2 linked regions of the Oryctolagus cuniculus genome follow. The protein of the gene in region 2 binds, or shares a complex with, the protein of the main gene of each other region. Links are inferred from orthologs where the notes say so. Each region holds a gene or a part of one and is shown on either strand. Other genes may lie near its edges. The genes, in order: RALGAPB and RALGAPA1.

Evidence for each region.
Region 1: RALGAPA1 (region 2) and RALGAPB share a complex: the UniProt entries of both Homo sapiens proteins name them as parts of the heterodimeric RalGAP1 complex. The link is inferred for Oryctolagus cuniculus from reciprocal best matches to the Homo sapiens genes RALGAPA1 and RALGAPB.

What each region holds. Positions count from the first base shown.
Region 1 is NC_091442.1:20,223,786-20,227,611, forward strand, and holds part of RALGAPB (ral GTPase-activating protein subunit beta), read right to left. Parts: intron 1,159-3,826; coding exon 976-1,158; intron 388-975; coding exon 236-387; intron 1-235. UniProt on the Homo sapiens protein: Non-catalytic subunit of the heterodimeric RalGAP1 and RalGAP2 complexes which act as GTPase activators for the Ras-like small GTPases RALA and RALB.
Region 2 is NC_091443.1:40,049,848-40,053,673, reverse strand, and holds part of RALGAPA1 (ral GTPase-activating protein subunit alpha-1), read right to left. Parts: exon of another isoform or gene 1,092-3,826; coding exon 943-1,091; 3' UTR 1-942. UniProt on the Homo sapiens protein: Catalytic subunit of the heterodimeric RalGAP1 complex which acts as a GTPase activator for the Ras-like small GTPases RALA and RALB.

The sequences.
Region 1 (3,826 bases), on a different chromosome or scaffold from region 2:
TTTTCCAGCTCTAACACGGTATAACAACAACTAGTACAGAAAAACAAGGACCCAAACTCTCAGCTCCAAGTTTCTGGTTTCTTTTTGTCTAAAACAAAAATAAAAACAGAGTATTTCCATTTTATTTCTGGAGAAAATTTATCATCAAGAGGCTATTAACTTAATACTGAACAATCTGGGAGGAGATAAAATAGTATGGATGGCTAGACACAACCTGGTGCAGCCACTTTCATACCATGTCAAGGTGGCTTCAGCAGCATCCTTTACCCTCATAGAGGCAGGGTTTGGCTCTTTATCTCCTTTGTACTTGACCTCTTGCTCACTGTTCTTGGACTTACTTCCTGAGATACCCAATTCCACAATCTCTAGAACTTCCTTCAGGCAGTCCTAGAAGCACAAAAGGCAGATCAATTTTTGTAGCATACCCTTCTCAATGAGATGATAAGGAATCCATCAAAATATTAACAGTGGTAGTGTTTGGGGGGTAGGACTCCAGCTTCTAATTTTATCTAAACATAAATGAATTTCACAATATAATGAACTTTATATTTATAGCCCCTTCCCCCAATTTCTCTTTAGAAGAATGAAATTTGAGTGTTCAAAGAATTAAATTTAATTCAATCTTATCACTGACAATTCTTGTAAAAATTACCATGACGTGTAAACTGTGAAAAAGCTGTATCAGTAACTCAGTTAAATATGGAACAGTTTAGGACATGTTAGATTCAGGGTTGTCTTTGAAAGGCACTTCTCTCAAAAGGACTTCTCTATGGGTTAGTTTGCAACCAAATATAAGCATGATAAGGAGTGTTTAAGTTGTGCTCACAAGGACAAATATTCTACTGAAATCTAACAGGCATATTTGGTTTAAAGGGTGCAATATAATATAGTATTTAAATCTGAATATTTTCCTTTAAAAGGCATTTTCCCAATATACCTTTTTGTTTCTACATAATGCCTTAAAGTTAAACTCACTTTTTCATCAAGCATATCAGGGTGCTCTGTCAACCAGACACAGAGACACTGAAAAGCTGCCACTATCATGGAGTGCAGGTCCCGGGAGTGAAGAGGAGCTGGTCGACTACACTGGTATACAATGTAGCTGCACACAGAACTGATGGCTCGCTTCCGGTCTCCTGAGTCAACCACCACTTTCACCTGGTATATTCATTTGGGCAAGAAAAACAGTTAGCCAGGAACCACTGAACCCATTTCAAGGCATCTGTACCAAGGCTTGATCTATCTGAGAATGTCATACATCACAGGAAGCCTTGCTTTTTAAATATTACGTATATACAAAACCAGAATATTTCAGATGTACTATAATACTGTACAAAAATAGTGGCATTTCTTTCAAATCCTAAAACAGTATTTCAGTTTAGCATTGTTTTTCCTGCCCTAAAACCCAAACCCATTGAGTGTACATATTTATCACTGCCAGAGACTGAAAAAACAGCTGGCAATGGAGCATGCCCATGTTTTTAAGTCCCTAACCCAGTCTCACAGCAATGCTCTATGCTCTGCATGACTGCTGAAGGTATAATTACCTTACAGTAAACTGCACATATCTAAAGTGTGCAATTTGATCACTTTTGGCATAAGTATCCACCTGTAAACAAACTATCACCACAATCAAGGGTGAACACTGTTTATCAACTCCAAAATCTCCTCAGGCATTTCTGTCTTCTCTGTCTCCTCTTCCTTGCCCTCCCTAAACTGCTTATCTCAGATTAGTTTGCATTTTCTAAAGTTTATAAAAATGAAATCATACACACATGTATGATTTTTTGGGCATCTTCATTCAAAACAGTTATCTTCAGATTCATCTACTTGTGCATGTATGTCAGTTATCTGCTCCTTTTTATTGCTGAGTAGTATTCCACTTCAAGATATATCACAATTTGTTTAACCAGTCACCTGTTGATGAACATTTGGATATTACAAATAAAGCTGGTATGAACATTTATGTACAAGTCCTTGCATGGATATATGCTCTCTTATTTCCTAAGAATGGAATAACTGGGTCATATGATTGGTAAGAATGTATCTTTAACATTTTAAGGAACTGCCAAGTTGTTTCCAAAATGGTAGTTACATTTAACATTCCCATCAGTAGCTTCTCTACAACCTCACCAGCATTTGGTATGGTCATTTTCATTTTAGTCATTCTAACAGATATGTGGCATTTCATTGTGGTCATAATTGCATTTCCTAACAAATTATGATAGGGCATTTTTTCATGTGCTTATTTACTATCTGTAAAGCTCCTTTGGTATAGTGTATTCCAATCTTTTAACTGCTTTAAAATTGGGCTGTCTTGAGGGTTTTGTAACTGAACATTTTGCTGCTGTTACTGAGGATGAAGAGAAACTGGAACCCTCACACACTGATGGTGGGAATGTAAAAGGACTCAGCTGTGGAAGACAGTTTAGCAGCTCCTCAAAAGATTAAACAAAGATTACCGGGGCCAGCACTATGGTGCACTAGGTTAACCCTCCGCCTGCAGTGCCAGCATCCCATATGGGTGCCAGTTCAAGTCCTGACTGCTCCTCTTCCAATCCAGCTCTCTGCTACAGCCTGGGAAAGCAGTGGAAAATGGCCCAAATCCTTAGGCCTCTGCACTCACATGAGAGACCTGGAAGAAGCTCCTGGCTCCTGGCTTCGAATCAACACAGCTCCAGATGTTATGGGGATTTGGGTAGTGAACTAGCAGATGGAGGACCTTTTGTCTGTCTCTCCATCTCACTGTCTGTAACTCTCTCAAATAAATAAAATTGTAAAAAAAATAAATAAATAAATAAAAAATTACCATGGGGCAGGCATGATGGTGCAGTGGGTTAAGCTGCCATTTGGGATACCCACATCTCATGCTGGAATATCAGTTCAAGTCCTAGTCAGTCACTTCACTTTCGATATCGCAAATGCACCTAAGAAGACAAGTACTTGGGTCCCTTGCCAGCTACATGAGACCTGGATGGACTTCTTGGCTCCTGGTTTCTGGATCACTGTGGCTGTTGTGGACAACTGGGGATCTCTCCATCTCTCTGTCACTACTCCTCTGTCACTCTACCTTTAAAATAAATGAATTTTTGTTTGTTTGTTTGTGTTTTAAAAAAAAGATTGCTATATGATCCAGCAATTCCACTTCTAGGTATACGGCCCAAAGAACTGAAAACTAGCATTCAAACCAATACATGTACATGCATGTTCATAGCAACAGTATAAACAGCCTAAAGATGGAAAGCCCAAATGCCTATCAATTGATGAATGGATAAAAAAATTGTGGTATACAAACACATACACAAACACACAATGGGATATTATTCAAAAACAAAAGTAAACAAAATTAGGATATATTCTATAACATGAAACTTTAAAACCACATTAAATGAAGGAAGCCAAGCACAAAAGATCACATAGTACATGATCCCATTTATACGGAATGTCTAGAATAGGACATAGATCCATAGAGACAAAAAGCAGATTGGTGGTTGTCAGGGATAGAGGAAGGGGGATGAAGAAGCAACTGTTTAATAAGTACAAAGTTTCCCTTTGTGGGGGCCAGCACTGTGGTGTAGCAGGTAAAGCCGCCGCCTGCAGTGACGGCATCCCATATTGGTGCAAGTTCGAGACCCAGCTGCTATACTTCTGATCCAGCTCTTTGCTATGGCCTGGGAAAGCAGAAGATGGCCCAAGTTCGTGGGCCCCTGCACTAGTGTGGGAGACCTGGAAGGAGCTCCTGTCTCCTGGCTTCGGATTGGTGCAGCTCCAACCATTGCGGCCAATTGGGGAGTGAAACAGTGGGTAGAAGACCCCTCTCTCTCTC
Region 2 (3,826 bases):
GAGGGTGGAATGTGGACAACTTGCACCTGCAAGTTCGGTTTTAACACCATCAGGTTTACCTTACACTCCTGGGGCAGGTTCCCTTTACTTTTTCTTTTTCTAAATACACATAATTTGAGCAATTTGTTTCAGCAAAGTTTCTTCCTTCTTCCCTCCCTCTCTGCTCTGTTTGGTACTTTAAGAGAATACAGGTACACCAGGACCTAGCAGTCCATAATAAAGGGTCACAATCTCCAAATAGAAATGGCATTTAACAATGATACCACTTAAAAAAGCAAAACATTAGAAAAATATCTGGAAGCTAAACATAAATCAAAGTCCAGCACAGTGATTGTTCTGTTAATGGGTATGTCACAGCGTTAGCTGCTCAGCCGACAAGTGAGACACTGCCTTGGGAGGAAACTGTTAATGCTAAAATTGTTTCCAAGGAATTCGAGATGCTAAAAGTCCATTTACTTTGAGTGTTTTATTCTCATAACATAAATAATCTGTACACATTCTGTGTATTAACAGATTTGTGACTTTTGCCCTAACTTTACAAATGCTTAAACTTAAAACCTTACATTTGTAAAAAAAAATTGATATTTATTGAGACATAAAGATGCAATGGGAAACAATAAATAGACTACTGTCCAATTATATTTTAACTCAAAGTTTATCTTGAAATTAAGGTAAAACTACTGACACATAATTATCTAGGAAGGTAAAGAATGTAGAATAAAACTCCACACCATCAAAATATGGCAGCTTGGAGTGTGGGGGGAAACAAAAATAAATAATCCACATTAAAATATTAAGTTACAAATTATTTAAATCCAGTGTTTTCTCAAATGTACAGGAAGGAGCATGCGTGGTATGGCAGACACGAGGGCCTGAGAGGGTTAACACTGTGTTCGTGCTAAGGTGGCTACTACTGCTGGTCACTCCTGGGCTGCTGTCTCCTTAGGATTTATTGGCTGAGCCAGAGGAACGACGCAGCTTCATGGACATGCGGCTTTTGCTAGTTCGAGGAGACATTGGCGAGGCCAGGTCAGCCCCGTCTACCTGCGTGGCTGTGGGAGTTTCACTGGGTAGAACCTCTGGGTAGGAGCCTGCAGGAAACAGCAAGGACGTTAGTCCGGCACCCGTCCTCTCATCCCATCTGGAATGACCTTTCTGCTGCCGATCTGCGGCAAGGATCCCGACCCTCAGGCAGGTCTTTGGAGGGAGAGAGCAAGCCTCCAACCTGCCTGCTACAACAGCTCCCTGAGCTGCTGGCAGAGGCCATCGTATTAGCAAGAAAGCGCCAATCAGTATCTCGGGGCCAGAACCGTGGAAAAAGTAATGGGAAACAAAATCTGGGCCAGCAAGAACGGGGATCCACAGCACCATCCACATGCAGCGAAGAGCTCAAGAAGCAAGTGAGGAGAACCAATCCTCTCTCTAGGGTTCAAGGTACATAACTGAAATCAAGAGGCGGGGGTGGGGCAGCTTCAATTTTGGAACCAACAATTCCAAGAAGGAACTTAGCACTATGAGACCACTGTACATGCTGGTGTTTAAATATGGTCTTAGGAAAGAGAAAGATGAATTCCTGGGGAGGGGACAAAGATAAGAATTCTCATCTGCAAGTCAGTCAAAAAGGACAAATTGGCTCAAATTTCTTAATTTAGAAGAGCTAAACTTGGGCAGTTACAGTATTCAGGCACAGCAAGTAACTGGTACTTAGTAGAGCTAAGATTTTAAAAGAAGCAAAACAAAGAAAATTCTTTGTGTCATTTACAAAGTGGTTCTTCACCTCTGTATTTTATTTCTATGAATTACGATTCTTTACAGAATCTTGAACACCGTAAGTTTTTAAATATTTTCTAGACAAATGAGTAAGATTACATTAGAAGTAGAAAATCTGGAAACAAAACATACAATTCTGTATATGAGAGGTCATCGAACTGTTCATGGAAAAGGCATATTATGAAAAAGCTATGCACAGATATTAGTATTTTTTCTGTATGAAAATTTACAATTCCATTTTTTCACAAACTTTTTCAAGTATTTTTGTGTTTTAAGGCACTTTCATCCAGGTTTTGAGGGGCCTGAGTATATGAAAAGTTTGTGTCACAAACAAGCAAAACCCCACCCATGTTTCAAGCTTAAATTTATACACTCCCTTACTTTGGAGGGAAACTTTTGGTTTATTTGTTAGCCAGTGCAGCACTCCTCACTGATGCTTCAACCTTGGAAATAATTATGCCAGCACTTCATCTAATGAAACATCTGTGCTTAAGGTTCTAACTATTTAAAGAAAAGCAAAAATGTTCAATAAGGAGTACGGATCCTACTGTCTCCTGATGTGTGAAGCAGTTAAGGCCACGTTATGTCTGGCGTACACAGTACTAAGGGAGAAAATTTTGTGAACTCATAATCTAGGTCAACTACTTTCCTCCTCAAAGTATCTTCTACGTCTGAACTGAAATGAGCCAGCTCTTTGAAACATGAGGAGAAGGAAGTAATTCTATATGCCTTTATTCTTCCTGAAGATCTGAACTGTTTGTAGTGGATCTGTATTGGGAAATCTAAATCTTACGAACCCATGGCCCTTGACAGGGAAGCGCTGCAGAGGGATGGCGGAGGAAGGTGAAGAGCGGTGGGTGGTTCATGCTTTGTGGTAACGCACTGGGTCCCGCGGTGTGGGAGGCCTTCCCGTGGCTGTTTACCTTGAGATGGCCAATGTTTTCTAGCGGAGGCTTTGGGAGGAAGAGAACTATCACTGCCTTTCTTTCTTTGTTGTGAATGAAGAATGGAGTAGCAAGCAGAAGTGAGAAAACGAGAGAGAAGACAGGTAACAGACATGAGCGACACAATGCAGAAGTTTACAGATGTTAATCGAGAAGCGGAGAAGAATCAGGGTTTCGTTAGGAAATGTAACTGAGCATGCAGTGAGTTCCAATGGTGATGTCTGACAATGGACAGTGCTTTGTACTTACAAATGAGATACTTACCAACTAACAACACAAGTTCATATAGGAAAAAAGAAGAAAAAACGTCTATGAGAGTTTCAGTAACACTCACCTTTCTTTAAAGTGTTCACTGTACTGGTGGCATATTATCCTAACCACCCAGGAATAAAATCTCTAGCACTGAACTGTCCAGTATGGTAGCCCCAATAAATTTCATCAAACTTAATTAAAAATTCAGTTTCTCAGTCCGCTAGCCATACTTCACATGTTCGGCTGCTATACTGGGCAGTGCAGAGCATTTCTACCATCGTAGAAAGTTTTATCGGAGAGCACTTATGGTCCACCAAACTCGAAGAATATTTTTCCCAAAACCAGTTTTTGTCTCCCTTATTTCTAGTTGAGTCCCCTTTCAGTCAACTGAGAGGCCACTCGGGCTTGTCAGTGTGGGTGGTGGAAGTTATCTGTAAGTTCCCATGCACTAGCAAATGGCATTTGTGCTATATACTCAACATATGCAAACTCCACAAATAATTCACAGTGGATAGGCCTCAATTTTACATGTAAAGAATACAGTGATACCTACATGTCATTTCATCTCCTGGACCATAAATAATGCAGATTCGCTTATATTATTATATCCCTAAGGACAGAGTTCCCAGAGTACCTGTGGGCTCCCAGCTATGTATGACGTATGTGTTACTCTCTTGGAGTGCTCACACAGTGCGTCTATCTTGATGGCAGAATACATTGATCCATGTATTGCACATTGGCTATAATTAACTATTATTACAAATAATATGAATATTACTTTGGGAATCTATATGGATTATAACAGAGAACTCAGTGGGTTGTCACTTAATTATGGTTTGGACAGTGATATAAATGATCAG